Nothobranchius furzeri: one gene and its partners. The protein of the gene in region 4 interacts with the protein of the main gene of each other region in a biochemical or structural test. Links are inferred from orthologs where the notes say so. Each region holds a gene or a part of one and is shown on either strand. Other genes may lie near its edges.

Evidence for each region.
Region 1: the proteins of dlg1b (region 4) and adgra2 form a complex in vitro, tested with the Homo sapiens proteins (2 studies listed by BioGRID and IntAct, with this or other methods). The link is inferred for Nothobranchius furzeri from reciprocal best matches to the Homo sapiens genes DLG1 and ADGRA2.
Region 2: the proteins of dlg1b (region 4) and gucy1a2 interact in a test that uses a peptide from one of them, tested with the Homo sapiens proteins (2 studies listed by IntAct, with this or other methods). The link is inferred for Nothobranchius furzeri from reciprocal best matches to the Homo sapiens genes DLG1 and GUCY1A2.
Region 3: the proteins of dlg1b (region 4) and ctnnd2b interact in a test that uses a peptide from one of them, tested with the Homo sapiens proteins (2 studies listed by IntAct, with this or other methods). The link is inferred for Nothobranchius furzeri from reciprocal best matches to the Homo sapiens genes DLG1 and CTNND2.
Region 5: the proteins of dlg1b (region 4) and pbk form a complex in vitro, tested with the Homo sapiens proteins (2 studies listed by BioGRID and IntAct, with this or other methods). The link is inferred for Nothobranchius furzeri from reciprocal best matches to the Homo sapiens genes DLG1 and PBK.
Region 6: the proteins of dlg1b (region 4) and vang-like protein 1 interact in a test that uses a peptide from one of them, tested with the Homo sapiens proteins (2 studies listed by IntAct, with this or other methods). The link is inferred for Nothobranchius furzeri from reciprocal best matches to the Homo sapiens genes DLG1 and VANGL1.
Region 7: the proteins of dlg1b (region 4) and tmem178a interact in a test that uses a peptide from one of them, tested with the Homo sapiens proteins (2 studies listed by IntAct, with this or other methods). The link is inferred for Nothobranchius furzeri from reciprocal best matches to the Homo sapiens genes DLG1 and TMEM178A.

The regions. Positions count from the first base shown.
Region 1 is NC_091757.1:39,980,982-39,984,981, forward strand, and holds part of adgra2 (adhesion G protein-coupled receptor A2), read left to right. Parts: intron 1-1,160; coding exon 1,161-1,324; intron 1,325-1,642; coding exon 1,643-1,856; intron 1,857-1,999; coding exon 2,000-2,164; intron 2,165-2,245; coding exon 2,246-2,444; intron 2,445-2,531; coding exon 2,532-2,681; intron 2,682-2,766; coding exon 2,767-2,928; intron 2,929-3,150; coding exon 3,151-3,351; intron 3,352-3,475; coding exon 3,476-3,665; intron 3,666-3,789; coding exon 3,790-3,998; intron 3,999-4,000.
Region 2 is NC_091753.1:35,474,243-35,479,037, reverse strand, and holds the start of gucy1a2 (guanylate cyclase soluble subunit alpha-2), read left to right. Parts: upstream 1-1,923; 5' UTR 1,924-4,795. UniProt on the Homo sapiens protein: Has guanylyl cyclase on binding to the beta-1 subunit. Isoform 2 acts as a negative regulator of guanylyl cyclase activity as it forms non-functional heterodimers with the beta subunits.
Region 3 is NC_091751.1:61,421,669-61,426,220, reverse strand, and holds the start of ctnnd2b (catenin delta-2b), read left to right. Parts: upstream 1-1,389; 5' UTR 1,390-1,679; intron 1,680-4,552. UniProt on the Homo sapiens protein: Has a critical role in neuronal development, particularly in the formation and/or maintenance of dendritic spines and synapses. Involved in the regulation of Wnt signaling.
Region 4 is NC_091751.1:34,826,123-34,830,122, reverse strand, and holds part of dlg1b (disks large homolog 1), read left to right. Parts: intron 1-2,261; coding exon 2,262-2,361; intron 2,362-2,671; coding exon of another isoform or gene 2,672-2,705; intron 2,706-4,000. UniProt on the Homo sapiens protein: Essential multidomain scaffolding protein required for normal development. Recruits channels, receptors and signaling molecules to discrete plasma membrane domains in polarized cells.
Region 5 is NC_091742.1:11,217,520-11,222,301, forward strand, and holds pbk (lymphokine-activated killer T-cell-originated protein kinase homolog), read left to right. Parts: upstream 1-1,653; 5' UTR 1,654-1,718; coding exon 1,719-1,782; intron 1,783-2,306; coding exon 2,307-2,499; intron 2,500-2,658; coding exon 2,659-2,798; intron 2,799-3,372; coding exon 3,373-3,542; intron 3,543-3,636; coding exon 3,637-3,766; intron 3,767-3,894; coding exon 3,895-4,080; intron 4,081-4,204; coding exon 4,205-4,437; 3' UTR 4,438-4,599; downstream 4,600-4,782. UniProt on the Homo sapiens protein: Phosphorylates MAP kinase p38. Seems to be active only in mitosis. May also play a role in the activation of lymphoid cells.
Region 6 is NC_091754.1:55,610,516-55,614,515, forward strand, and holds part of vang-like protein 1, read right to left. Parts: intron 2,827-4,000; coding exon 2,395-2,826; intron 1,894-2,394; coding exon 1,718-1,893; intron 1-1,717.
Region 7 is NC_091746.1:29,271,167-29,275,609, reverse strand, and holds the start of tmem178a (transmembrane protein 178A), read left to right. Parts: upstream 1-1,396; 5' UTR 1,397-1,494; coding exon 1,495-2,002; intron 2,003-4,443. UniProt on the Homo sapiens protein: Acts as a negative regulator of osteoclast differentiation in basal and inflammatory conditions by regulating TNFSF11-induced Ca (2+) fluxes, thereby controlling the induction of NFATC1.

The DNA of each region.
Region 1 (4,000 bases), on a different chromosome or scaffold from region 4:
ACCTGCTAGTATTATTTGTCCATCCATGTCTCCCAATACCCTGTTTATCGAATGAAAAAAAGAGGGTCTTCTTTATTGGGGGCATAGATGTTACACAATATTAGCTTTACTCCCTCTACCAAAGCTTGGACACATACCATTCTTCCTTCTGTATCTTTAACTTCTTTAATCAATGAAAATCAAATACTTCTTTTAATAAGTATAACTACCCCATTGCGAGCACTCGAATAGGAACTATGAAAAATATGATTTACCCCACCACCTTGGAACCTCAGTTCTTCACCGTCCTTTAAGTGGGTTTCTTGAAGAAAAATTATATCAGCTTGTATTGACTTTAAATAAGATAGTAATTTACGCATTTTGGTTGTATTTCTACACCCATTAATATTCCAAGATATACATTTTACATATTTCCCTGTCATTTCCAATTGTAAGTTCCAATAGGATTTAAACCCGCAACCATGCTAGACAAAATAAACCTTTCCTCTCCTGAAGAAAAGACCCACTGTATGGGTGCACACAGCCAAAAACATAACAAATAAAAAAAAACATTCCCATGAACAGGGCCTAAACAAAAACCTTATCGGGTCCGTAGGATGCTGCTCTGCTTCTCCCCTCCTAAGATGACAGATGATGAGATCTGCCCTCTCCAACAGTCAGACACCAGATGTCTCAGGCTCCTCGAGATTACGTCATCAATCAGTCGAATTTGGGGTCTCCCCTCCTTGCACCCTCTTCTCCTGCTCATCCTCGTTGCTGAAAAACTTTTCAGCTGCCTTTGCCAGTTGAAGCTTACATTCCCCCCCCCCCCCCCCCCCCCCCATCCACTTTACACGTAGTGTTGCCGGGAACGCCAGGGTATATTTGACATTGCGCTCCTGAAGCCTTCGTTTCACAGCGTTAAAAGCCTTCCTTTTTCCCCCCTTAATTTGCATTTTGTACAATCGAAATTGATACTATGTTCTCTGTATTTGACCCATCCTCTGGGGGAGCGGTGAACTGCAGACATGGCTTCAATTGGGAACCATTTGGTGGTTTAATCGAACCAATCGTTACTTTAATGCCAAAACCAATCATGTTTTAAATAAATCTAAATATTTAATCATAGGTGTTGACTTGAACTTGAATTGACTGAACCTAAGCTCATTTTTTTCTTACAGGAACTTCAACTCAGACTACCTGTCATGTGACTGTGGGCTGCGTTGGGTGCCGACCTTCTTTCGCAGCAGCACGGCGCGGTTAGGAGATGAAACGCTGTGTGCCTATCCCAGTAGCCTGAGGGGAATGCCCCTTCGTGCGCTGAAGGAGAGCCAGCTGAGCTGTGGTGAGGACCTTGGCTGCAGGGAGACACATGAATGAGGCGGTTTGCCACTTTATTTCAGAGAGAATTACCCAGTGAATGACAGTCGCACTGTAATGAAGCTTGAGTCCATTCTGGACGTCCTGTCTCAGCAGGGACATGTTAACTAAATGTGTGAGAACTCTGTGTTGACAGCTAGCCCCATGGGTTTTATTGACAAATTGTTGCAGTCTGCATCCAATATGCTTCTGTGGAAGCATTTACCAAAAGTTCAATGGTTTAAAACAATTTACAGTGAAATGTGACAGCCATATCTGGGACTATTCCCACCGTGTTCCTCAGAAGGTCCACCGGAGCTGCACACCATGTCCCTGCTGCCATCCCAGCGTCAGGTGGTCTTCAGAGGAGACCGGCTGCCCTTTCACTGCACTGCTGCCCTTGTGGACAAGATCACCAGCTTACACTGGCGCCACAACGATCAAGAGGTGACATCCAACCCAGACAAGGGTGTCCAGCTGGAGAATAATGTGGTGCATGACTGTACCTTTATCACCAGGTACAGAAAATAAAATCTGGTTCAGCTTTGACTTTCTTTTTCATGTTCTTCTCACATGTGCTTTGTGTTTATTCCTGAGTACATTGTTCTAATTTAGCATTTGGGGATAATGTGTTATGATGACCTAACATGTCTTCATTCAGTGAGCTGATACTATTCAACGTCCATGTGGAGGCCAGTGGGGAGTGGGAGTGTGTGGTCACCACTGGGCGGGGCAACACCTCCCGCACTGTTGAAATAGTAGTGCTGGAGAACAGCGACACCTTCTGTCCTGAAGACAAAATCATCAACAACCGTGGAGAGTTCAGGTTTGGCATAGTAACATCAAACTGTACGAGTGGCTTCGAATGAATTTAGTATTTCACTGGGTGTTTATTTTGGTTCCACAGGTGGCCGAGAACGGTGGCAGGCATCACCTCTCATCAGTACTGCCTGCAGCCGCATCGCCCCTCCCTGACAGTCGAGGGGGAGCGGGAGCAGAAAAGAGCGTCTCGGTATTGTGACCGCTCTGGAAAGTGGCAAGAGGGCGACTACTCAGAGTGTCACTACACCAACAGCATCACTCGTGTTCTGCACACTTTCATCCTGGTCAGTACCACAGAACAAAGGTCTTTTTGAGAATTCCAACAATAAAACATTAATCTTCATAAAAAGTCACTTGGCTTTACATTTCAGAGGCCGATCAACGTGTCCAACGTTGTGACTGTGGCCCATCAAGTGCAGACCTACACCCTGGAGGCTGCGGGTTTCACCGACTCTGTGGATGTGCTGTACGTGGCGCAGATTATGGAAAAGTTTATGGAATATGTCAAACAGCTGAGAGAGGTGAGAAATATTTAATATCAAATAAAACAAAAGTGTGTTTAAAGATTCCATTCTAATGGTGTGAACTTGTGTGTGCTTGCTCCAGCTGTCGGAGATAATGGTTGAGATGGGGAGCAACCTGATGCAGGTGGATGATCAGATCCTCGCTCTTGCCCAGAGGGAAAAGAGAACGTGTAGCTCCATCATCTACTCTCTGGAGACTTTGGCCTGGCCTCAGCTGCACACTCACGCTCAGGACTTCTCTGTGGTAATCTGAATTTTTATTAAGTATTTGTGTGTATTTCATTACAGCTCACACGGTGTAATTGATTGCAATGTTTGGAAATGTTGTTGATTTCATATTAGGAGACATGCATGAATCAAAACGCAAAATCCAATGCAATTTTACATCTTTCTGGCATCATTAATTTGAAAAACATGAGTGTCTGGACTTATTTCATATGATCAATGTATTAAATGATTTCGACAGGTGTCTAAGAACATTGTGATGGAGGCCCACCTAGTTCGAACAGCTCATTTCACCGGCATGACCTGCACTGCGTACCATCGTCGTAAAACGTCTCTAAATCGGCCTGGAGTGGAGCTGACAGACCCCACCAGTGAACAACAGCTTCATTTCCGCTGCAGCACTGGCTCCCATAACACCTCCCTCAATAATTTCCCCCTGAAGGTGAGGGTGCTACATACTGCTTCCTTAACAGCACGTTTGATCTATTTAGTCTAATATTAGGATTGGAAAGTAGATTTCAGAGCCAAATATTAAAGATTTGTATCCGTTTTACTGTTTTATGCAGAACTCCGTAGCTCTGGCTTCTGTGACTCTTCCAGCCACTCTATTTCCACCTGATGCTGCGGCTGATTGTAAACTGCAGTTTGTAGCTTTCCGAACAGGAAGCCTTTTCCCTCTGTTACTAAACTCAAGCAACAAGGTTGAACACTCCAGCAGAAGATGTGTGAACTCTCCCGTCATCTTTGCTGGCCTTAGTAAGAAATGATATATTTTTAATTTTTGTTTTGCACATTTGGGAATCGTCTCCTAAAGTAAGTGTTGGCAGTCATATGTCCTTTTAAAAAATGCAGTTTCATCTTTTCTCCCAAACTGTGACAGATGGTTGTAACATGTGGAACTACTCTGAGCCGATCTGGGTGTCCCTGCGTCACTTGTCTCCCGGTTCAGATGCAGTGGCAGCTCAGTGGATGCCGAGGGGACCTGAGAGTCAGGGAAGCTGGAGCCAGGAGGGCTGTCAGCTTGTCCACAGTGACAGAAGCACCTCAACAATACGCTGCTCCGTCCTCAGCAACTACGCGGTGCTTCAGGT
Region 2 (4,795 bases), on a different chromosome or scaffold from region 4:
GGAAGAAGAAACTAAGTTTTTATACAGCGTCTCTAAATAAAAACCACAGAGCGCATCACAAGAACAAAAATTTTGAAAATAAAATGGTTAAAAAAATATGCATAAAAATTATTTTAAAATGTAAGAAAATAATGGGGGAAATGGAAGATGGCGCATAACAATGTGTATTACGCTTTAAATTTAAAGGTGCTTAGGGTAGGAAACAAATCCTGTTGTCAAATTTGGGTATTGAAGTCAATGTGTAAAAACGCTATTCTTCTCTAAGCAACTGTTGCCAGTTACAGCCAGATTATCATTGCAGCCCCCCCCCCCCCCCCACACACACACACCACCCGGCCTCCCCCAACATTGCTGCCACCCAGAAGCACTTTTTAGACATTTCATAACATTGTTAATATTAAAACTCGCTTACTTATGTTGATACAAGGGTTAAATATCTTGTCTCCTGTCTTCTTCCTCCTCTTGTCTCCTGTTTCCTTCCTCCTCTTGTCTCCTTCCTCCTCTTGTCTCCTGTCTCCTTCCTCCTCTTGTCTCCTGTCTCCTTCCTCCTCTTGTCTCCTGTTTCCTTCCTCCTCTGGTCTTCTGTCTCCTTCCTTCTCTTGTCTCCTGTTTCCTTCCTTTTCTTGTCTCCTGTTTCCTATCTCCTCTTGTCTCCTGTCTCCTTCCTCCTCTTGTCTCATGTCTCCTTACTCTTGTCTCCCGTTTCTTTCCTCGTCTTGTCTTCTGTCTCCTTCCTCCCCTTGTCTCCTGTTTCCTTCCTCCCCTTGTCTCCTTTTTCCTTCCTCCTCTTGTCTCCTGTCTCCTTCCTCCTCTTGTCTCCTGTTTCCTTCCTCGTCTTGTCTCCTGTTTCCTTCCTCGTCTTGTTTCCTGTTTCCTTCCTCGTCTTGTCTCCCTTCTCCTTCCTCGTCTTGTCTCCCGTCTCCTTCCTCCTCTTGTCTCCTGTCTCCTTCCTCCTCTTGTCTCCTGTCTCCTTCCTCCTCTTGTCTCATGCCTCCTTCCTTCTCTTGTCTCCTGTCTCCTTCCTCCTCTTGTCTCATGCCTCCTTCCTTCTCTTGTCTTATGTCTCCTTCCTCCTCTTGTCTCATGCCTCCTTCCTTCTCTTGTCTTCTGTCTCCTTCCTCCTCTTGTCTCTTGTCTCCTGTTTCCTTCCTCCTCTTGTCTCCTGTTTCCTTCCTCCTCTTGTCTCCTGCTTCCTTCCTCATCTTATCTCCTGTCTCCTTCCTCCTCTTGACTCCTGGCTCCTTCCTCTTTTTGTTTCCTTGTTGGTCTCCTCTCGCCTTCAGAAAAACTGCTTTCTGGCCTTTATATTAGTAAATTAATTTACAATGTCATCAAAGTCCAGATTCCTGACAAGCTGAGATTCAATTGCCATCAGTGATGGTGCATTGAGGCGCTGTTGAGTTTGTGTTGTTCTCAGTTCATTTTTTATTCTTGCCATTTGTGAAAATCATTCCCCTTCACAATTTGTAACTGGTGGCAGGCATGTTGCAAGCTTTTCAAAAGTGTGGGGGATGTTGTCTGTGCCTAAAATAATTTTATGTTATTCATCTTGTTAGTTTAATTTCCATAATAGCTGAGCAGGTGTGAATTTTAGACGCGTCACGCATGTCTCCGTTTTAAACATGTTTAAACTGTTCAGAATACAAATCCGGGCTCTGTCTCATTAGATTGGTGCAACTAAAGTTTGTACTCAATGAAATTTTTACATTCAACCATGGTGAAAAGGTAAGAAAAAGATCCGATTAAATCGTTTTCCCCCCTCATTTACAGTCACGGAGTACAGCGCAGTGCGCATGGCTCTGGGGTTAATCAAGTTTAATAGTTTCTCTTTGAAAAAATCTTCACAAGAAGGCAAAACTGTTAAATGGCAGGTTACAGATATTTCCATTTGACTGTTTATTTTGACGGATAAACTCAAAAATGTTGGTTGTTATGAAAGAATTACCTCAATGCACACTGATGCGCACACAGATGAGCTGACATTTTAATCGTTACGCACATCTCGGGGGTAACTAAATAAATCAAGAAAAGATTCTCATCAGAACTTCAGTGCTTTACACTGGACACTGCTCAGCGCGGCTGGGAGCGAACACGGACAATGAGCTGAAGATCTGTAGAGGGGTTTGTAGTGCAGCGCAGAACCACAGTGATGCGGTAAGATTTCCTTCCACTGAAGCGGTCTGGAAATGCTGTCTCTCTGAGGGATGTGTCACCTGGAAAAATGTTCTCTGATTATGAAATTTTGGCTGAATAGCGCTTGTTCCCGTCTCCAATATGGGCACGCATGACACATCCAGTCTGTCTGAGGCAGAATAACCTCTTCAGCTCAGAAAGCACCTGTTGAGACATTTGATCATGCACAAAGTTTATGTGGAGCAGAAGCAGTCGGGCCACGGCAGGTGAAATGTTCCTAGCCTACATGAAGTGAAACTGTTTAGTTGTAACATTAATATGTTACTGGACACACTGGTCTGGTTGGTTAGACCAGTGTTTGAAGTGGAAAACACACACACACCAATTAAAATAATGGTGATAGCGTGGACTAGAAGCCAGGTGATGGTTTATGTATTTAAATGATGATCAGACTGCTGTAAAATGTAATCTGTTGCAACAAACAGACACCAGAAGTGAGGAACAGAAAATTAAATGACCCTTTCAATGTTTAGAGCAGCAGGAACTCTGAGAGGCTGCAGGCGCATCAGTGAGTTTGCGGCCGCTGTGCAGGGGGAGAGTGCTGAAGCAGGAACAGTTAAGATGCAAAAACTACCGTTGTTAAAATAAATTGTGTTAACTTAGAAAATGTGGGCGCAATTTTCATTACTTGTCAACATTTTTCTCCAACGTTAAGACTGCTGCACAAGAAAAAAAAAAGACTGCTGCTTGCGTGGGCCCTTTGTAGCTGTGGGCCCCTGGGCCTGTGCCCAGTTTGCCCATAATCCGGCCTTGCAGATCAGCACTAGAAGATTCTAGATGAGCAGAGACTAGTCATACACATTGGCTTGATAAGTAGATAAAAACATTTCACTATAACATTGAGTTGCTGGTAAGTTGTTGCTGGAATTGCTGGGAAAAAGTTGCTTGAGTAGCCAGCAATTTTTTTCTAGTTCACTGTTAGCATTGTTAGCTCAATGTTAGCCTCTAGCCTACTTCACCCGATAATAGAGTAAAACAATAAGAATACCATGCCTTTGTAGGTTTACAAAAAATAGCTTCTGGGCCCCTCCTTTGATTGGCCAACGTTCTTTCCACAATGCTGCCGCCTTTTCCTGGCTGGTGTCAAATTACAGATGCTAAAACTGGCTCTCGGAGCAGGAAGTATGGAGGCGGGACAGAAGGTAAAAAAAAATATAAAGGCTACATTTCTCTTCAGCTCTTGTTAGAAAAACTGGCAACCACCAGTCGATGAGAAGGACATCTATTTCAATGTAACCTTCCTTCCAACTGGATAGAGTCATTAGAAGGTTAAGTGGTTATTTCACCATAAACTTCTTACTTATTGCACCTTTAAACAACCAAAACCAGTTGACATAACTTGGTTAAGGGACTTTCACATTTAAATTCATATGTGTAATATCACACCAGGACCATCAGTTCTTTATTTTTAGTTTCTGAGTCAACTGTCAAATAATTTCCAAGATAAGTTATTAAAATTTGATGTCATCTCGATGATATATGTAGCTACTGAATGAAATTACTTTAAAACACCAAGAACAGCCCTTTATATCTTGTGGCCTGTCTGCGCTTGGCTATAAATGGCTGGCGGCCAGCTCCAGGCAGCCCCTCTGCTCGAAGGTTTATCTTCTTTGGAACATAATTTGTTTCATTGTAGCAGTGGCTTTATTAAATGCCCACATTATGACCGTAGGGCTGCGGACTGATTGGTAAGTGCAAGCAACCAGATAAGGAAAGAGAGGCAGAGCTTGTGCACAATGTGTGTGAGGGAAGAGCGTGTGTGGGCGTTTGTTAGATAGAGAGAAAGTCTGTGCAGTGGATTGGGGTCATGTTGCTCCTGAGAGTCAAATAAATTAACAAGAACCTTCAGGAAATTAACATAGGGATGTGTGCGTGCCCACATGCATGCACTTGCATGATGCATCATGTCTGTTTCAGTGTCTCTGTCGGTCCCATCGGGCTCCATAATTAACAGACATGCTGTGCCAATGGAGGTCAAGGTCATGGCTGTTATTAGTACCAGACAAGAGCATCATTCTGTCCTCTGATGGAGGCCAGTGAGCTTGTACTACCGCTGCAAGCTCCATTAACTGCCCTTGGAGCCATTTTTTGTCCTCATGTATGCTCACATCAGGCATCATGTCCCCATGGCCTGTTGACCATGACGTTTAACTATCATCACATTCAGCTGGATTTTTATTTAATTAAATTTTCTGTGAGATACAAGCATTATTTCATAAGGAATATTTGTCCAATCATTCCACATAACTTATTTTTAATTGTTTTTAAATGAAATTTCATTAAATGGCCAGTTTTGCTTATGACCCCTGTCATATACTGTAAAATCTGATTAGTTCACCTTACTTGGAAAAATCAGAGACCGTTAATAAAAGAAGTACATGGAAGTATGTTTTGGAGCTACAACTAAGACAAATTATACATAGAACTTGGAAAAAATGCTTACTGAACATGTATTTCTGAGTTGTATAAGCAGTGGTAAACAGGAGGCAAATGTACCTTTGGCATATAGCATTTAAGCACATTTCATTTTGTATTAGTAGCTGCAACACATATCTAGATAGACTACTTGTTTTTTTTAGTTGTATTATTGGTAATAAAAACA
Region 3 (4,552 bases), about 27 Mb from region 4:
GTAAATTACAATGTTGTTTACTTGTTAAATTTACATACTGCCTCATTATTTTATGCACGTTTTTAGTGTGATTTTATAAGGGATATTTTGTTAAAATAATGATTTTTTTACTGTATTTAGGTCACTGCCGCTCTTGCACTAGCTGAGCCTAGATTTTAACATGTACTGTTTAACCATGAAATTTAAATGTAGGGTAAGACCCAGTGCATTTAACATAACGCTGCGTTTTTGAAAATGTGTTGAGATATGACATGTTTGTGGAGCTGGGTTCCGACTATCGGTATGGTCCCCTCCCCTCAGCGGCAGCTCGGCGCATCTCTGATCGCAGCGGCGCCTGTCCAAATAATATCCAAAAAGGAACGCACAAATGCTTCAACTAATGGTCTAAGTTGAGAGACTGAAAATGGCGGAACAGTTTTCAGGCGAGGCCGAGGCTCAGGCTGAGGCCTTTCCCCAGCGCTAGCGCTGCAGTCACGTGGGCCTGATGCTCATTAATTATTCAGAATTTTAGGCATTTAATACACTTAAACAGAAGAGTGACAAAATTCTGCCCCCTCAGAGTTGTCATGAGTGTAAACTAGATCATTTAAACCTAAAACAAGTTTTGGAACCAGGCTGTGAACATGTTTATTTCTGCTGTGAATTTGGTACTTTTAACATGGGAGTTAATGAGGATTTGCTCGCTTCTGACACCAGCCCCTAGTGGATGAGGGTAGAACTGCAATTTTTTTCACTTCCGTGTTGGCTTCAGTTTCAGACCCGAATTATGGGGGCTTGTGTCAGACCAGCGGAAGGGGCACAACGCAGTTTAAAGTACTATTGCCATAGTAACGTCCACCATTGACAAGAACAGTGGTGGTCGGACAAAATGAAAATTAAAATACTTTTATTTAGAAACTTTTAGAAAATGTAGTGGAGTAAAAAGTACTGATAACTGCTTTAGTGGAGTAAAAGTTTAAAGTAGGCCTTTTTTATTCGATTGAATAATTTTTTCATACTAACACAGGAAAAAGGGAAAAAGGATCATAAACCTATCTCAGCTTAACCCCCCCCCCCCCCCCCCCTCCCATTGAAAATCACATACATCGGGACCAAAGCCTCGACTTAAGAGGTGCTCAATGTTGTTCTAAGCTTTGCTGCCATGGAGCAAACACTAACCAGCTGTTGCACGCCTGTGGCACTAACAGTTCTCCATATATAAGTAATAATCTCCATCACCAGTGGGTGTCGCTGCTGACGCTGGTACCCAAGCGGTCTGCCAGTCTGTCTGGCACGGATGGGGAGGATGTTTTATTGTGAGCAATGAGAGAGAGAGAGAGAGAGAGAGAGAGAGAGAGAGAGAGAGAGAGAGAGAGAGAGAGAGAGAGAGAGAGAGAGAGAGAGAGAGAGAGGGAGGGCGCGGAAGGGAGGGGAAGCACCTCTGCCGCTCTCCTTGCCTCCTGTGCGCAGTGCTCCGGCCCAGCCGCTCCTACCTTCCCACATCATTTCCTCCCCACAGCTGGCGTCTCCCCTCTGTCTGATGCAGGCTTTCTTCTCACTAACCGAGCTGGAGCAAAGACTTCGGAGGGGTGGAATGACCGTCTGCCTGCTCTGCATGGTCTGAATCTCGGGAAATTCGCACGTCGAGAGTCAAGTGGGAAGAAAGGAGACTCTCCATCCCCGAGGGATTTTATTTTACAGTAAGCAGGCGCAATGTCATTCCTACCGCTTCCTCTTCTCGCTAGAGCCCGTCTCTGCACCTCTCATCTGTTCAAAATGCTTGACGGGAAAATTGTTGGAATGTGACAGCCTGCTGGGAATATGGCCGGATGTAGTACATGAGTGGATGAGTGCGCCAGATGTGTTTTTAACAGATTTATTTAGCGCCAGTTTACTAAAACGTGTGGTGTGAATGGTGTCTTTGTAATTCTCGTGAAGCGCTGATGGGATTTTGCGCGCTTGCGTTGATTCTGCACTGAGAACGGGATCCCCCCCCCATTTCATCTCAGCTGGCTGTGCATCAATCCATCCGAGGCCGGAGTGTGTGGGGGTCGCAGCGATGAGCGGGGGTTTGCTGTGGAAACGCTTTTACTTTCTGATTGACCCAAATTTGAGCGATATTCGGGAGATTATCGCGCGTGACAGCGGCCCAACGTGCTCTGGCTGCGCGTCTTTGTGCCTTTGCAGAGAGACGCTTGGACCTTGTAGCCTATTTTTTGTTTCCCTCTGCCGTCATGAAAGCATGTGCACGTTTATGAAGTGCACCTTGCTGCATGAGCTCCAGCTCCGTGGTGATCACTAAAAAGACTGTTTCTGATCAGTAGCAAGCTGTTTCTCCTCTTCACCCTGGAGTAATCTCACTCATCACGCAGCCAACGCCGGGTTTCTGTTTTAGCAGAGATCCTCAGAACGTTTGCTCCTTGGAGCTGTCTTAGATTGTTTTAACTGTCCTCTTTGTGCTTGAGACACGCCCTTCAGAAGCATGCAGGTTACTCTAGCCATGCTCAGCTCCATGCTCTTATTTCATTAATCTCTTGGGTTTTTAGTGTTGTTAAACATTTGACATGCCCAGTAAAGATGTCTCATCCGCTATATGTCCGTTATGCTAAGGGAAACATGGCCGAGTTTGGCGGTTTATTAAATGATTTAGACCAAAAGGTGCATAGCAGGCAGGTGATAGTCCAGAAAGGTGCAAGGATGAAAAAAATACCTAACAATTAAAAGTGACAGGGTGATAAAGACGAGGATCTGGTAGTGGACGTGCAGATGAGTGAGTGCAGGTGAAGGATGACAGATATGAGTAAGAGGTACAGGTACAGATGAGCTGAGGAGAAACAATATGAGCCCTTTTGACATGTTTTATTGAATGTAGACAGTGTGTTAAATCAAAAATCAGCATGCGGAAATTTACGTGACAAAACTATGAATGTATAAGAAGTTATACAGTAATGATTATATTCAACAGAATTATAATAGTTTCTTATATTGTACAGCTCTAAATGAGAGAGTAGAGAAAGTCTACTGTGGCTGCATCCCATTTAGAGGTTCTGCTCATTAGTATTCGAACAACCAAAGTGTGCAGCCACATGTTTGGAATGCTGCCCTTGTTAGTACATGTGTGCTTCTCCTCGTCTTGCCAGTGAAAATGGGTCCGCTGAAAAGTGAACACACATTAAAGGCCGTGGTAGTTTTGCTCATTCATGCATGAATTATGACAGAGGTCAAGGGTGGACCCCCCCCCCCCTCCTCCACACACACACACACACACACACACACACACACACACACGGGCTGCACGGTGGCGCAGTGGTTAGCACTGTTGCCTGGCAGCACGAAGGTTGCAGGTTCGAAACTCGGCTCAACTGCGGCCTTTCTGCGTGGAGTTGCGTGTTCTCCCCATGCATGCGTGGGTTTCCTCCGGATACTCCGGTTTCCCCCACAGATCACAACATGCCCTATAGGTTATAAATTGTAAGTCGCTTTGGATAAAAGCGTCTCCTAAATGAATATACATAAACACACACACACACACACCCTCTCCACCCCAACCATCCTTATTCATCTTTAGGTGCAAAACACATACGTTTAAACTGAATTTGAACTTTGTTTCCTTCAAAACTTTTTTTCAAATATCCACTCAAACATGCATTTAGATTTGTGAAAAATCGACAAATTATTGACTCAGCTGCCCTGGGGCGCACTGACAGGGGCGAGGCCACCGGCCACTCCCTTTCCAACCACCATCGGCAGACAAGGGGGGTGTAGGGTCTTGCCCAAAGACACAACCTAGCCATGAGCGGGGCTCGAGCCTTCAACCTTAGGATTACTGGGTAGGCACGCAACTCTTCTGCCACCATCGCCCCATAATTATCTTAATTAAATGATAAAAATGCCATTGAAACTTAATTCACAGACATAATTAGCAGCCAATAAAGTGATGCACTAGAATCAAAGTGGTGGCTTAATTGCAAGTATCCCGACAGCTTCTGTCTGACCATAGTGCATGAAAGGGTTAAACATCAGGGGATCTGCTTTTGAGTGTTTTGTGAATTTCAATCAGTCAAGTCACTTTCATGAAACAAGGTTAGAAGATGTTTGAATTAGCAAGTTTCAGCATGATGCCCTGTTTATAATCTAGTTAAAAGCTTTTTTAGCAAGCTTTTGGTGCTGCTAAAGTAGGCTAGCGGTCCATGCCAGCTGCGTTGCACGGTTTATTCTAGCAGGTGAGTATGCAACTGGTGAAGAGCTCTGGGCTGAAGTGTGAAAATCCCCTGAATGTAAATGGAGTTCAACAAAATATCTGTAAAAAACGTTTAAAACTAATTATTTTGTAATGATTACTTTAAAGAAAACACATTTTAGGTATAAATGTGGAACACAAAAAATTCCACAAAATAACAAGAAATACAGAAGAGATCATTAGAAAAATAATTCAGGAGTGCTTTAGGAAACCTTAGTCTACTCAGGATTGCTCAATTTGCCATCATCCAAAATCTACAAAGCCAACCACATAAACATTATTGTTTAAGTTAAAGTTTGAATTAAATCTTTCTTTTTAAGCTTAAAGTGACAG
Region 4 (4,000 bases):
TGTCCTGTGTGCTGGTTCAGTTGGGTCCAGAAGCTTGAATGCGGTCTTCAGGGGCCGTAGGACCTTTTGGCACCTCAGCTTAGGTCAACGGCATCTGTGGTATGTAGAAGGAGGTGCTCTCCCGTAGTGGCTTGACTCAAGGTTCCTTCACTTTAGCGGCCTCGAAACGTGGAATTCAGATCGCGGGCCCAAATTATCCCAAACGGAGCCGAATCATCAAACTGTTCCAAATTGCTTTTACTCTTAATGTGAGAACTCGACCGAACACGCAGACTTCTGGTTTCACGTAGGAAGTCAAAACAAAACAAACTGAGCTGCTTCAAAGTTTTACCGTAACTTTTGAGAGCTAATTACTTGACAACTGTAAAGCGCCGGGTCCTGCTAGGCCAGATGGAAACAGCCCGCAGGGATTTGTGCTTAAGGCATCCTTTTCTTATTTCTCCTACCACCGCGAACGAGGTCTGAACTCTGGTTTTATAAACTTCTTGGTCACACCCACATGTATTTCACTCATTAACCACTTGATGGCACTGTGGCTCTTTCAAATAACCCAGTCTTCCAACCATGAGAGATTCATGCTCACAATTTTAACAAAGTAATTCCAAATAAAGCATCAAAAAGTATGACTTTAAACAGAAAAGAACTAACTTCAGGTCTTAAGCTTGACTGTATCACTTTTAGAATGGTTTTGAACTGGTGAAACACAATGGCAGAAGTTAACATGAAAGAAAAAAACACAAGCAGTTTAGGTTTGTAAATGATAAAAGTTTAAACATTTACTTGGAACACCTTGAATTTTAATGGTGAACAACCTAAAACACCTTTTGATTATGGATAAACTGAAAAATACCAGGGTTTTCATAAAGACTAAATCCTGGAATCTTCCAGAATGACCCTTGAGAAGTTTGACAAGCATCCCGGCCTTGGGGAGAGTCAGTTCTTGGCAGGTTGAGGTAAGACAGACCAAGTCCTGATAATGTCCGGCTTCTTGATTGCTTAAGGAGGGAAAAGAAGTGGTAAAATTTACGTTCCTGGGACAAAATGTAGGAGTTAGCCAGATGTTCGAAAATCGGAATTTATACGATTGTAGGCCAGTTTCAAATTCCCCCTTTTTTCTGCTAATTGTGAAAGAAACTTTTGAGTGAAAATGTTATTGTTCTTCTCCGTGTGAGTCCAAACAAAGTTAACCCGAGGATATAAAGTGTGGATTTCCGCTACAAATGTATAAACTGAACGCCAAGAGAAATCACTAGACTGATTTTTTTCCGTGAATAAAATAAATATGTCAGGCAGGAGCGTCTCAGAATCTGTCTGAGATCTGTCTCGGTGAGACAGATAATAGCAATCCAAAGTGATTTTTATGTGTGATCTGACAATTGATCAACCATTGCTTAAAATTAAATACAGCTTAGCCGGTTAATTGCTGTGATCATAAACCACGTAAACGGCAGCACGCAGAAGCACGAGACAACATTTTACGTGATGTTTACTTGTTGCTATGAGTAATAAGACAGAAAAAGCCACGCCAAAATAAGTTTAGGAAGCCCACTAAGAATCATAATAAAAGCATTTAAAATAAATACCATACACAGTTGAGGAAACGTTGGTTTAAGTACCTGATATGAAGTGGTCGCTGCATAAGCGAAAACCTTTACTATCGGGATCCCACAGCTTCATTTCAGCCCGGTCACTAGCGCGTTTTATTAGGATGATCCAATGTTTGCGGCGTTCCGGATCTTGGGGAATCCTGTAGAAGGCTCTTCCCTTGTTTCGTCCGCGTCTGTTCTGGCATCCTGAGTTTTCTTACAATAATAAATAGCCTAGATGCGGTCTACTGCCTGCCAAGATGGTGCCGTTTCAATTTGAACTGTTGCATGCTGGGAGAAGTGACGTCAACTCCCAGAGCTCTATAGACAGCTGATAGAGAAACGGACCTGTCTTCAGATCAGGTCCGGTAGGACCAGGACCTGACCCATAGTGGATCATCTTGTAGCTTCTGCACGTCTTCAGCACGCTTCCTCCTCTTCTTCACTATTCTGCCTTCACAGTCCCTCTGGGAAACCCCAGCCTCAGTCATGATACCTACAGAAAGGGGTCAGAACCGGAATCGCATGGCCCAGTTCTGATCCAGCTTGGTTCTTAGATTACAGTTTTGTTTATCTTTAGTATCAGAACTCCTGATTCTGTCAGAACCGACACCATCAGAACCCCCTCATCTCCTCCTGTTTGTGTTTACCCCATCACCTCCTCCTCCTCCTCAGCAGTCCATCAATGACAAGCGTAAAAAGAACCTCTTTGCCCGAAAGTTTCCGTTCTACAAGAGCAAAGAGTCGAGCGAGCAGGAGACCAGCGACGTCGACCGTAAGTACTGGACAGCCGATTGGTCGGTGGCAGGAAGAGAGATCAGCTGGTAGCGGCGTGATGCTAGGCGGTCGTCACGGCGATGGGGCAGGCGGTGATGCAGCCATCATCACATACGATAAATGAGAAAATGATAAGACTACAACTGATCTGGAACCTGAACAGGAAGCTCCTCTTATCTCTTCCTGTTTGGAGCCAACATGGCCGCCCTGACGCCGTGACAGCCACCTCCTCTGCTCTCTCCGTCTGTCACTGGAACCCAGTAACTTCTTGTTTCTGTGGTTTTTCTTTCTGCTGCTGCTTATTGCAGGACAACAACGATGACATGATGCCCAAAAGTCACAGTGAGTAAACAACAACAAGTAAACAGCAGCACCCCCACAAGGATCCTCTCAGATCAGAAACCAGACAAAGGCTTTGATTTGGATTTCACAGAATTTTACTCATTGTTCTTGTTTTAATGAAGTAGAAATAGTTTTATCTGCGGTTGCTATGAAAACCAGAAAAGTTGCTACAGATGCAGGAAAGTGAAAAACTGTTGTTCTGCTTTTATTTTATTTTATTATAACTTTTATGTTTTTATAGGAAACTTTTAGTTTTTGTTCCTTTCTAAGGAGACGGGCCGGATCCTGATAGATTCTGAGAACCCCACCCACCCCTCCTCACTTCAGAACCTTCAGAACCCGTCCACTTGTTTGGTCTCGGCGTGTTTTCATGTAGAGCTGAACGATTATCGTTTTATCGATTTGAAACGACGAGATCATCAAAGCTGGGTTTTTTCTAGCGCTCCTGGCTGGTCCGGGATCTGTTGTGTCAACTTTTATAGACATCCGGGTTTTTTCCTGTTACGAGAGCAGCAGTGTGTGCGTGCGTGTGTGTGTGTGTGTGTGTGTGTGTGTGTGTGTGTGTGTGTGTGTGTGTGTGTGTGTTCAGAGATGAGCACATCGTGACAAAGCTGGATATTTTGGTTATATTCCCATTTTGTTTTCCTTACACGGTGCTGCTAGAGCTGGCAAAAATGGCTGTCTCTCAGCCCCGAGGCAGGCGAGCGGGTGAGGGAGAGAGCAGCATTCACCAAAACGACACTAGAGGCTGATTTAGACTTCTTCGTCAGCTCCGGTGTGGAGTCGTGCACTTAAGTGGACGTGAATCCTTCTTTTAAACGGTTTGAGGTTTTCTGAAGGCACACCAGTTTGGTGTTGGAGCGGCATTTCAGTGGGAAAAACCAATCAGACGAGACATCTAGGCAGCCTGCCTTGGTGAAGACTCTGTGCATTTTTGTTATTAAATATATGTGAAAGCTATTTTTCCTTCAGTTGGCATTAATGTTACTTCTGTAGCACTCATCACAGAGCCCACTCAATCATAATCCTAAAAATAACTAAATATAGTCATGAAGTTATAAAATGATCATTAATGTCATAAAATAAATGAAAGATTATATAAATTCTAGTTGTAAAAGAAGAAAAACAGTAGATTTAGGTTAAAGCAGATTTAAATGACAGGGTCTCTAAAGGTCACCAGGCTGTCAGAACTCCGTACGGATAAGACGCTCCAAAGTCTGGGAGCAACAGCCTGGAAGGAGCAATCAGCTGGACTTCATCTGGTCTTCAGAAGCACCTCCAGATATAAATGTGTG
Region 5 (4,782 bases), on a different chromosome or scaffold from region 4:
TTTTGCTGGAGACAGACATGCCAAAAAAAATGTTTTTACGTGTCATATTTTGGCAATCTTGAAATTATTCAAAAAGTACTTGACAGACTCAGAGATGGTTTGACTCAAACTAGGGAACTTGTGCCATAATTGCGACAGGTTTTCACAGAAATGTTTATAATATGTTAAATAAAGATGATTAAAAGTCAGATTCAAGGGGAAATTTAAGAGCTGTGAAAACCCACTTATATGGAAAACATTAATCTAGATACCTCTGGATCAAAAGAGGAAATAGTGAGCATATTTCACTAGTGAGATAGAGACAGGCTTAAATTAATTGCAGCGATGTGCAAAATTTATGAGTCATCAAGTGTTTTCTAAAGGTTTTGGACAGATTTGCATGAGCACAGCCAAACGCAAACGTGATTAATTTCTGAAATCCCGAGAGGCAAATGTGTTTTCCTCCAGACTCGATGGAGGAACTCAGTTTGGAACTGCTTTTGTCTTGAACTACAGGTGAGTGTGATTTTTTTTTTCTAGGCCAACACAGCAGAGGAACAAAGTCAGCATTTATTTCATTTCCTGCATGATCACTGGTCATGCTTTGATTTTTAGTTCCAAGAGCTTAAACGTGAAAGATAATGTCAAAAGTATTTTGTTGATACCTTTAACTGGAGAGCAGATGCTTCACGTTTGCACTGCTCAGCAATACGTCCGTCGTGTGCTGCAGTCCACATGTGAAAACCACAATCAGAAGTAGATTTATGGCACATAAATCCTGGATGATCCTGAACTTTAAGTGTTCACATTTTATGACCATAAAAGGAGAGTTTATGTTTTTAACCAATAATCTGTGTTTTACCAACAGTAGATGTTGGCACAGCCGTAGAAATCGGTTGTCCCACAGCAAATTCTCTGTTTTCTAATCAGTAACGGACCCACTCTATTTTATAAAGTGCTCCAAAACATGTGGCAGTGGTGCTCACCAGCATGATCTGATTTAACTTCTAGGTGAAACAGGAACTGGGAGAATAATAGAATGTCCCACTCTTCCCTTCCATGTCCATTTGTCATCAGACCACATTCCTGTTTCTCTTCTAGCGAGGAGATTGAGCTGCACAGCTCTGTGCGATGTGGGAAAAATAGGAATTAAGTTTGGGATCATGAGAGTCAAGGTCGAGGTCTCGACTTTTCTTCTTTCGACAAAAGCTTGAAGTTGGTGAAACAAATTTTAACATGCTTCATGTTCCACTCACGTTTCTCAAGTCTTAGTAAAAGTGAGCTTTAAATCATTATTTGTTTGAAGGTAAAAGCTGCATAAATAGTTTTTAATACATAAATTAATGTATATATCGTGAAACAATGCACCATAGAAAACAACTAAACTGAATCGTAGAAACCGCCACAAAAAGATTGAAAAAACCTAGAGGTGTTTATAGATTTAACATAAAAAAAAGTAAAAAACACGTCTGATTTCAGATGAAGAACTTAGCTCATATATCTGAGACAAATCGGTAGATAAATAATTATGTAGTGATAAAAATGCATGTTGTAAACAAACTTTGAGAAGGTACACTTGTTCAGAACCCTATTTCATTGACATGAGCACCCTCTAGCGGTGCACAGCGGCATTACAATAACTGCATTAGAGAGTGGTTTTGTCATTTTAAAAGCGCACTTTTTAGAGAGCAGCAGTTTGTCCCTCTTCAGCTTCCGTGTCTGCCTTAGTACTAGTTTGAATGTTCAGCGCGGTTTCTTTGTTGAAGGAGATTATTTTTAGATCAGACAGCAACAAAAACTCGGGTAAGGTTACGTTTATCAAATTAAAGTTGATTCTCATTGGACTGACATGAAATCCTGTAAGGTGCTAAAAGATTAACGCGGTATTAACAGCGTTTACAGTTGGTTTTAGCCTTTTTTAACGTTAGGTTTGGCTTCCCCTCTGTCGTTTGCCTGGGTGGTTTCTGTTCAACAATATTACATAAGACTGAGTATAAAGCGTATTTCCCGTTGTTAAACATGCTTGTACTTTTCATTTACCTTGATTTAAAATGGTCCAAATCCTGCTACATTACAAAACAGAAACATTTCCTCAATAACACCTTTGCTAACGGGCCTTGTGCCAGCCTCCACTCAAAAGTTGTCATTTTATTTCCGTTCTTAATGGTAAACGGGCAATTAGACATTATAGATCGGCATTGTTCTATCAAATATATTAAACTTTCAATCGGCGCTATTTAAAAGCCCTCAAACTCGTTTTGCTATTATTGTACAGTTTAACATCTGATCAAAATAACGTATTTGCTAACTGTTATTTTTTCCGTAAGGTCCAATATTGTTCTTGAACGGAATGGCCTCCCATCCAGTCAACGAGGGCGCGTATAAAACCCCTAAAAGGGTCGGGTCAAAGGGCTCCAACAGCAGCAGCTGTGGTGACAGCACCCCTGTCACCATCCCCGCATCACCTTTCATGAAGAAGCTGGGCTGCGGGACTGGAGTCGACGTTTACCTCATGAACAGGTTTGATGTCAGGGGCTCACACAGCACCTCTTCCTGACATCAGGGTCTCTTCTAAACTTCAAACCACTGTTTCTCCATTCAGATGGATGATTAAGTGATTATTATATCTGAAAGTGAATCATTTCAGCTCCAGTAACAAATGTATGTTTTTATCTCTAGAGTGGGAAAGCTGAATGCATCGCCTTGGGCTGTGAAGAAGATCAACAGTAGATGTGCATCCAAACAGGCGGACGTTTATCAGAAACGTCTCAATGAGGAGGCGGAGGTCCTAAAGGGAATCGATCACCCAAACATTGTTGGTAAGCCAGCCTTAACATGCATGAGTGGTTTTTCTAATTCCCACAAGATGCTCACATCATCCTGGACACCAAAGATGTGTCATCATTGAATTTTCTCAACAATAAACAACCACTGTGCAGATTTAGCTCATTTAAAGAGCAAGTCACCCCCTACCAGATTCTTACTCAACTCCCACTTCCTGTTTGACAAATGCAACAAATGCTGTTGCCTAGCAGACCGAGAGGGCGGAGCCGCTATCAAATACACACACAGGCTCACAATGATATTGTGACATCATATGGTACCAGCTAACGTTCTAGGGTACCTCTTAGCCAATAGTGATGGCGGATTTAAATTCAAAAGTAGTGCAGAGTTTTTACCTGACTACGGCACAACACTGACAGTTTTAGGCAGAAAACTGACTACACGTGTCTGCAGCACTATTAGACACACATTTATATAGTTTATCAGGGGGGAAAAGTTGATTTGGGGGTGACTTGCTCTTTAAACATACCGTTGAAGTCTGGAGGCTGTATGAGATTGACCGTTTTCACAACTCTGTTTCACTCGCATTGTTAATTCTGTCTTTTTGAGGTTTTCGTGCCTTCACTACAGCCAAAGACGGCTCCAAATGCCTGGCGATGGAGTACGGAGGAGAGCAGTCCCTCAATGACCTGATCGAGAAGAGGAAGGAGGAAGGTCTGACCGCTTTCCCTGCCGCTGTTATAGAGAAGGTGGCTCTGCATGTGGCTCGTGGCCTGATGGTAATTAACTTTATTGTCAAAGCTTGGTGGAATGAAACATTATTCATTATCTTTCCTGTTTTAAAACAAAACTTTAAACATATTTGCTTTGCAGTATCTCCACAATGAGAAGAAGCTGCTGCATGGCGACATGAAGTCGTGCAATGTGGTCATCAGAGGAGACTTTGAGACGGTGAAGATCTGTGATGTTGGCGTTTCTCTGAAGTTAGATGAGAACATGATAGGTAAACGTTCACATTCAGCTCTTTACTGGCAACACAATATGTATTATTTCTACATGTTTCTGCTATGTTATGAATTGAATTACAGTATGGCTCCATCGCAGTAAATAGAGTGCTCTCTCTCTCTTCAGTGGCTGACCCAGAAGCAGAGTACATCGGCACAGAGCCATGGAATCCCAGAGAAGCAATATTAGGAGGAGAGATCACCGATAAGGCGGACATCTTTGCTTTCGGTCTGACTCTGTGGGAGATGATGACTCTGGCGATGCCTCATGTGGATTTGCTGGAGAATGATGAAGAGGAGGAAGAATATGAAGGTGAGAAGTTCTGTAGGAACATTTCAAGGTAGAATTTAGTAGCTGCTTCCTTTGACTGGAACATTACAGAAGAAAAGTGTTGTGTGGTGAAAGCTAACAAGTTTAACCATTGGGTTTATTTCAGAAGACTCAATGGAGGAGACATTTGATGATGAAGCCTACTATGAGCGTTTAGGAACACGACCGCCTCTGGACACGGAGGTTCTGGGCAGCCCGTACCGCAGGGTGGTGGAGCTCTTCTGCGTCTGCACATCAGAATGTCCTAAGATGAGACCATCGGCAGCTCAGATCGTCCAGGCTCTAGAGGACAACGCTCCTCTGGGCACGGCTGCGGAGGCGGCGATCGTTATCGACTGATTCACTCAACAAGCACATGTTTACATTTCAGTCTAAATCAGAAGTTCTCAGTTCATATTCCCCACATTTGTTTGTTCTGTAGATTGTTTTTGTCTGTCAGCTTTTCCTGTATTTGTATTCGTTTGTGTTTCTGTCAAACAGTAAATGTTACAATTCTAACAAGTTCGTCCCAATTTTTCCAACATTTCCAATGAATCAGGAGACAATCTGCAGTAATGAGTCAAAACCAACTGGTTTATTAAAATGTACAAAGCACAAATGCCCAACAACAAAGATGGCATCCATGCATCAACAGGTTTGTGCTTACCGGTTTCGACAAGATCCGGCTAAGATTGGTGTTTTTCT
Region 6 (4,000 bases), on a different chromosome or scaffold from region 4:
TTGTTCGCTCTTCCTTCTTCCATCTCAGGAACGTTGCTAAGCTGAGTCCCATTCTGTCCCGCTCTGAACTTGAGACAGTTCTCCACACCTTCATCTCCTCACACTTAGACTACTGTAACTCTCTTTTCACGTGTCTGAGCAGAACCTCCCTGAACCGTCTACAGGTGGTTCAGAATGCCTGTGCTCGGCTTCTGACCAAGTCCTCCAAACACACCCACATCACCCCGCTTCTCCTCCAGCTTCACTGGCTGCCTGTCAACTTCAGGGTTCATTTCAAGATCCTGGTTCTGGTCTATAGGGCCTTACATGGACAAGCACCATCTTACATTGGTGATCTTCTTAGTCCCTACACCCCCAGCAGGTCCCTGAGGTCCAGTGATCAAAGCCTACTGGTTGTGCAGCACCAGGCTAAAGACCAAAGGTGACAGATCATTTGCTGCTGTGGCCCCCAGACTCTGGAACTCTCTCCCCCTGAGCCTGAGATCAGTGGACTCAGTGGTCTCCTTCAAAAAGCAGCTGAAGACTCACTTGTTCAAGCTGGCTTTTGTATGACCTTCTTCACCTCTCTCTCTTTATTCTGCTCTCCCCACCTATTCCACCTTCCTCAGGATCCACTGATTTCCCTCTTTCCTGTTCACTCTCTCTCTTTCTTTACATTTTTTAAATCACAATTGTCTATTTTTGCTCATTTTAAATATATTTTTAAACATTTTCTAAATGCTTTTTTATCTTTTTACATTTTTTGTTTTTGTGAAGCGCCTCGTGATTTTTATCTTGAGAGGCGCTATAGAAATGATACTTTCTTCTTCTTCATTCTGAACCATAGGCTTTTACACGTATGTAGTGAGTCCAGTGACCAGCTCCCTTATTTACTCATAATGTCGATGTAACTAAGCTAGTAGCATAACTTTCATATTAGCACAAGTTCTGACTGACTACAAATCTATATTAATTTTGTTTCCTCTGAACTTTGTACTATTATCACTTCTGTTGTTGGTCTCAGCATTGTGGCTTTTGTGTTTCATTGAACCTTCTGGGCCACGGTACTGACAGACTGACAAAAACATTATATGAATATTCGTGGATTTAACAGTTTAATAGAATAGTTGGTAAAATTTAATAACAGAGCGCAACAATTTCAGGGTATCTGCAGGTTTAAGGGAGCCAAATTTAAGACTTTTTAAGACCTTTTTAAGGCCACTTTGACCAAATTTAAGCTGTTTTTTAAAATTAAATTTAAGCTATGATTTCCAGCTATTGCCTGGAACGTCGCGAACGTGGGATTAGCCATCCAGTTACCATTAAACTTGCACTTTCCCATGGCGCAAGCTCCCCCTAGCTTAATCAGCTAATGTGCTCTTCTAAAAATAGTCCCCTTTCACTGAATGTGTACGGTTCCGCTTACGCCAACATCGTACACAAAAAATGCTGAACACTAGAAATTCACAAATTTTTTTTAGAAATAAAAGAATCTTGTTTATTGGGTCTTTGGTAATTTAAGACCTTTGGAAACTGTATTTAAGGATTATTTGTCAGTTTTAAAGATTTTTAAGGCCTTAAATTTGGAAAAGCAAATTTAAGACTTTTTACGACTTTTTAAGGACCCGCGGATACCCTGAATTTGGATATTCTCCTATTTCTTCCAACATGAACAAAAAAAAAAAAAAAACCTGAAACCTTTTACAAAACAAAAAAGATTTTTGTTTTTTATCTTCACCTGAGCTGTCCCAGATTGTAGTGCCTCGTCGTGCCGTCCGTGGAGCGCGTGACGCACACGGAGAAGCACGGCTGGAGCTGCCGGAGCTCCAGTAGGACAACGGCCAGGTAGTGGATGAAGAGCAGCGCGTCCACCAGGGACACGGCGTACTGAACGATGCCCTGGTAGTTCTCATCCTGCACAAACAAAAACATTTCAACAAAACAATCAAATCTTTTGACCTTATTGACTGTAAGAATGTGTTTAAATCGCAGAATCCTCGTGACGAGCCCTCCGGGAGGTTAAACGTGTGAGACTAGATCCGGAGCTTTTAGATATGAGGGCAGATTTTAAAGACGGAAGCCTTTTAGACCTTTAGTTGGTCTGTTTTTCTCAAACATGGTGAAAGAAGCATCAAGAGGGATTTTAAATGATAACTCACACACTTAACACACACATCACTGGGGCAGCCAGAAACTGTGCTTCGGCTGTGTTTTTCACTTAGCTTAGCTGCTCAAGGCATTGAAAATAAACATGTCTGCAGCGCTCAAGACCTCTCACTCTAGTCTCTAAAATCCCTCGTCTGTGTGTGTGTGTGTGTGTGTGTGTGTGTGGATTTGTTTTTATTTTTAGTTACTCTCCGGGCTTACAGTTATAGCTCTCGTATTTCACGCCTGGCATTAATTCTCCTCACAAACCTTAGCGTCGAGTATCCGGACACTGTAGAAGAGCCAGTAGGACACAACAAAGAGTAACACCAGCACTGCGAGCAGGACCCGGAACACAAAGACACGTGGGAGTCCCGCCCGCGCCGGTCTGAAGAAGAGCGCCCAGACGGCCAGCAGTAGGATGAGCAGCTTGAAGGCCACAGAGATGTAAAGGCCCTCGCAGGCCGTCCCGCAGCTCTGCAGCTTCTCTGGCCACAGGATGTGTGGCAGCACCAGGAAGGCCAGCGGCGTGAGGAACACCAGCAGGCCCAGGATCACAGCGATGGTCCTGGTGAGATACAGGCGACAGTTCAGCCCCACGCTGTCCTCAAGGTCCTTGGTGATGCGTACAATGTCCTCCTGAGAGAGGCTGTGCTCTGATGTGCCCGTGACGGCTGTGGTGGTCTCGCCCCAATTGTCATCCTAAGAAGAAGAAATCAGAATGAACTTAAAAGTTTGTAACGTTATCAAAACGCTAACAAGAAGTTCCAAGAAGCTGTTTGTCCACCCTAGTGAAGGTGGATGATTGACTAGAGAACCACCAGATGTGAAAATATGGTTGTTGCTTCATAACACGTCCAATCCCATCCCACATGGCCCAAACACTGGTCCAATTAGGTTTTCTTATATGAAGCTGGGGTATATTTGTTAAGTGTGTGTGTGTGTGTGTGTGTGTGTGTGTGTGTGTGTGTGTGTGTGTGTGTGTGTGTGTGTGTGTGTGTGTGTGTGTGTGTGTGCTCTGTCTTCTCCATCCCCAGTGAGTCGTGGTGGATGGCTGCTTATACTGAGGCCCTGTCCACACGTAGCCGGGGATCTGCCAAAACGTAGATATTTTTCTACGTTTTGGCCTGTCATCCACACAAAAACGGAGTTTTTTCACACAAAAACGGATCTTTTTAAAAACTCCGGCCAAAGTGAAGATCTGCGTTTTCTCCGTTTTGGGTGTCTGCGTGTGGACAGACAAAACCGGAGTTTTAAGGTCCGCAACGTCACTTTCCGCGACAAAAAAATGCTGACATCACGTGTGCGACCTGTGTTTACACTAGCTGACAGCATGGATGCCCTCAGAGCTGCGCTCGCTTTATCAATTGTCCAAGCGCTTTTTGCTTGTTTGTTTTTGCAAGCGGAATTACTGCTCCTTGCGGAAGACCACAGACGAAGGACAAGGTTAAGAACGGGGGAAGTACTGCCGCCTACAGGTCTGGCATGTCCTTAACAACGTATTTATCCGGGTACGTGTGGACAGAGTTTGTTTTTAAACGAGGTGGTGTGGATGCAAGTTTTTGGAGAGGCGGATATTCGTTTTTAAAAAAACCCAGCTAGGTGTGGACTAGGCCTGAGTCAGGATCCTCTGGAGGTTTCTTCCTGTTAAAAGGGAGTTTTCCTCTCCACTGTCGCTACATGCTTGCTTAGTATGAGGATTGCTGTAAAGACTCTGACACTAGTCAGTGACTCGATGCGACCTGCTGGGTTCCTTATATAGGAAACTTTTTACTGATAGGTTAATGAACTGACCTGAACTGGAATGTTTACTTTGTGAAGTGTCTTGAGACGACTCTTGTCGTGATTTGGCGCAAAAGAAATAATCTGAGTTGAA
Region 7 (4,443 bases), on a different chromosome or scaffold from region 4:
TATCATACACCTTCCTCATACACCAGGGAACTAATGGACCATGGGTTGTTATGATCAATACCCCCCCCCCCCCCCCCCCCAACACGCACACACACCTTTTAGGAAGTGACCTCTATCATCTTGCTGTTTCAGCACATCATAGAGAGGATATTCACACCTCGGAGAGAGAATGGGCTCTGGCTGGGCGTTAATTAGACCTCTGCTTTGTTCCATCCTGGCCAGTGACCCCTGGTCTGATTCCTCAGCTTTAGTTTGCTGGAGCTGCTGAGTGTACACTGGTAGGGCTAGGATTATCTTCCTAGTCCACCTCATCTAACATCAAAATCCCTTTAAACTTTATTTGGACATATAAGTGTCAATGAGTTCTTGTTGCTTTAGACAGAACGTTTCTCCTGTTGATCAGTTTGTACCTTTTCTTGATTTTTTTTCTTCAACATTCTTCTGTTTGTAAAAATGTAAAATTTGTAGGAAAGAAGACGCAGCTTCCTGTCAGGTGTTGTGTAGAAAACCAGACCCTATCAGGGGAAGCTTGGTTGAGCACCGACGGGATGGAAGAGTTGTGTTAAAAGGTCAGATGATGCTGAATCTGGAGGCAGTTTTGCTAAGCAAAGCTGTGTGTGTGTGTGTGTGTGTGTGTGTGTGTGTGTGTGTGTGTGTGTGTGTGTGTGTGTGTGTGTGTGTGTGTGTGTGTGTGTGTGTGTGTGTGTGTGTGTGTGTGTGTGTGTGTGTGTGTGTGATTAGGCTAACCGGTGAATGATCATGTAAAAACATCTGATTCATTAGATCTGATGATGACAGGTAGTTATCTGCAGGTTGGCGGTGACAGACTGTAGGTAGGGGGGAAGGAGGTGTTGTGTTACAGGAAGCAGCAGAAGCCAACAGGGAGAATGTTGAATTATTGATCAACAGAAAAGTCAAGCTTACGTATTTCCCTCTGAGAGGCTGAGAGCTGCAGTCACCTGAGATTTCCCACAAGGCCACGGTCACCTGGTTTCCAAGGAAATGCAGCAACGGTCCTCCTGATTCGCTTATATAAGAGTCAACGCTGTGGGAGAAGGCCTAATCCAGCTGTTTGAAGTCATTAAATTAAGCATCTGTCTTTGCTGCGAGCAAACCTGTTTTTGCTATAAAACACAAACAATTCAGTTTATTGATATAGTGCCAAGTCACAACAAGAATCTTCTCCAGACACTGTAAAAAAGTAAACATTCCTGTTGAAACTACCTTTCACTGCAATGAGCAACACACCTGTCTTTTCTGTAAACACACCACTTTTTGGTGTAAACATGCCTACCTGTGCTGTGTTACATTTTTCCGGAAGATGTACTTCCGGTAAAAACGTTTTATTTTGAAGGAAGCTCACTTCCGGCGCCGCAGTGTTACCAGTGTTTACCTTGACGCAGCGCGGATAGTCCGTCAGTCGGCATGACAACGAGCTCTCGAGGGCAAACGAAGAACAGCTGACGAGGATGCGCGCGAGGATGTCAGCAGAAGATGCCCAGTAACGGAAATAGCGGAAGCGTCGGGACCCGCTCCGGTAACGGGAGTGGGAGCGGCTCGGTCCATGTCCCAGCCATGGAGAGAGCCCGGCCGGCCACGGTGAAGGTGTCCGCGGTGAGCCTCGCGCTCAGCTCGCTGTCCTTACTGCTGCTGGTCACCGCCATCTTCACCGACCACTGGTATGAGACCGACACCCGCAGACACAAACAGAACTGCGACGTTTCCGACTCCAACGACCAGAAGAACCGCGAGATGCCCATCTACCACCTGCCGCTGGTGGACACCGGCAGCGGCGGAGCCCGGCAGCGGGATGTGGCGCTGATGAAGCCCGTGCATGTGGGCAGCAGAGAGGAGGAGCTGCTGGAGAACTGGCGGGCCATCCTGGGGATGGGCATCCTGGAGACGGAGTGCGGCAGGCCGCTGTTCCCCAAACACTTCGGCCTGTGGAGGGAGTGCTTCTTCAAAGACCTGGACCCGGACATCGACAGGCTCATCGACCGGGGTCAGCGCACACACACACACGCACGCACGCACACGCACACACACTTTGACAGATGTTTATATCCATTTCACACAATTTTCTACAGCACAAGTGTGAGTGCGCGCACACACTCCTGCAGTGACAGCACCTGCTGACATCACACCAGAGGGTGAAAACATCCCAATGCTGTAATTCTGCAGTAAACGTCACCGTGAAGCATTCTGGGAAACGGTGTCCAGCTGCTGTCGTCTTTTCAGATCCCTCCGCCGCTGCTCAGGTGTGAAACACTTCCTGTTGTTGAGGAGAGTTAAGGTTGGTGGTGTCAGCGGTTCTGTCACCATACTGAGCTAGGTCTGTTTGTTGGCTGGCTGTTTAGCTGGTACTTATTGGTTAGATGGTACTGGTGGTTGGTTGGTACTAATCAGTTGGTAGTCGTTGGTTAGTTGGTCTTGGTTGGTACTGGTTGGTGGTTGGTTAGTTGGTAATGGTTGGTACTGGTTGGTGGTTGGTTAGTTGGTACTGGTTGGTGGTTGGTTAGTTGGTATTGGTTGGTACTGGTTGGTGGTTGGTTAGTTGGTCTTGGTTGGTGGTTGGTTAGTTGGTATTGGTTGGTACTGGTTGGTGGTTGGTTAGTTGGTCTTGGTTGGTACTGGTTGGTGGTTGGTTAGTTGGTCTTGGTTGGTACTGGTTGGTGGTTGGTTGGTTGGTTGGTACTGGTTGGTGGTTGGTTAGTTGGTAATGGTTGGTACTGGTTGGTGGTTGGTTAGTTGGTACTGGTTGGTGGTTGGTTAGTTGGTATTGGTTGGTACTGGTTGGTGGTTGGTTAGTTGGTCTTGGTTGGTGGTTGGTTAGTTGGTATTGGTTGGTACTGGTTGGTTAGTTGGTCTTGGTTGGTGGTTGGTTAGTTGGTATTGGTTGGTACTGGTTGGTTAGTTGGTCTTGGTTGGTGGTTGGTTAGTTGGTATTGGTTGGTACTGGTTGGTTAGTTGGTCTTGGTTGGTGGTTGGTTAGTTGGTATTGGTTGGTACTGGTTGGTGGTTGGTTAGTTGGTCTTGGTTGGTGGTTGGTTAGTTGGTATTGGTTGGTACTGGTTGGTGGTTGGTTAGTTGGTCTTGGTTAGTGGTTGGTTAGTTGGTATTGGTTGGTACTGGTTGGTGGTTGGTTAGTTGGTCTTGGTTGGTGGTTGGTTAGTTGGTATTGGTTGGTACTGGTTGGTGGTTGGTTAGTTGGTCTTGGTTGGTGGTTGGTTAGTTGGTCTTGGTTGGTGGTTGGTTAGTTGGTATTGGTTGGTACTGGTTGGTTAGTTGGTCTTGGTTGGTGGTTGGTTAGTTGGTATTGGTTGGTACTGGTTGGTGGTTGGTTAGTTGGTATTGGTTGGTACTGGTTGGTTAGTTGGTCTTGGTTGGTGGTCGGTTAGTTGGTATTGGTTGGTACTGGTTGGTTAGTTGGTCTTGGTTGGTGGTTGGTTAGTTGGTATTGGTTGGTACTGGTTGGTTAGTTGGTCTTGGTTGGTGGTTGGTTAGTTGGTATTGGTTGGTACTGGTTGGTGGTTGGTTAGTTGGTATTGGTTGGTACTGGTTGGTGGTTGGTTAGTTGGTCTTGGTTGGTGGTTGGTTAGTTGGTATTGGTTGGTACTGGTTGGTGGTTGGTTAGTTGGTCTTGGTTGGGACTGGTTGGTGGTTGGTTAGTTGGTACTGGTTGGTGGTTGGTTGTACTAATTGGTTGCCATTTGTATTGGTTGGTTGGTGCTGGATGATTATCTCCCTCTCTGATTTCCAGTCTTGAGGTTTTTCGTTGAAGAACATGTTTTTGTTGTATGTGGTCAGCCATATCTGTGATTTCTACAGGTTTATAATATTTATAGTAATTGATGCTTTATTCGTCCTCATAGGGAAATGGTGTCTCTGCGTTGGGCACATCCCTGAGGAGCAGTGACTTGTACGCCACCGAGTGCAAGGTCACACATGGCCTGCTTGGGGTCTGGGATTGAACTGTGCACCTTCCAATCGTTGCCCTGTCCACTTGAGCCACCATCTGGAATTCACAGACTGGTTTCTGTTGCATGAACCCGTTTCTGATCTGAGACCAGCAGGCTGAGCTCCATAGAGCCTCTCAGAGAAACTGGGTGAAGAAACCGTTGGCCAGCATTTCCAGCAGCCTGAGAGTCCAAACGATCTGACCTCTGGGCTGCTGTTGGCACATCAGATTATAGCTTTCTAAATCACATTATGCTCCATCATGTTTCATCTGATTAGCTTGCATTAGGCTGGACCCAGATCAGAATAGAGCTGCTCATGTTTGGTCTGAGGACAAGCAGCAGCAACAAACAGCTGCTGTCTGGGATGTTTGTTTGGTTTTCTCTGCTGATCCATGGCAATGATTGGTCCTCTGGTTGCTCACCTGTTTTGCTAGGTAACTAGCTTTTGCAGAACCCCAGAGCTTAATTTTCATTTTTGACTCGG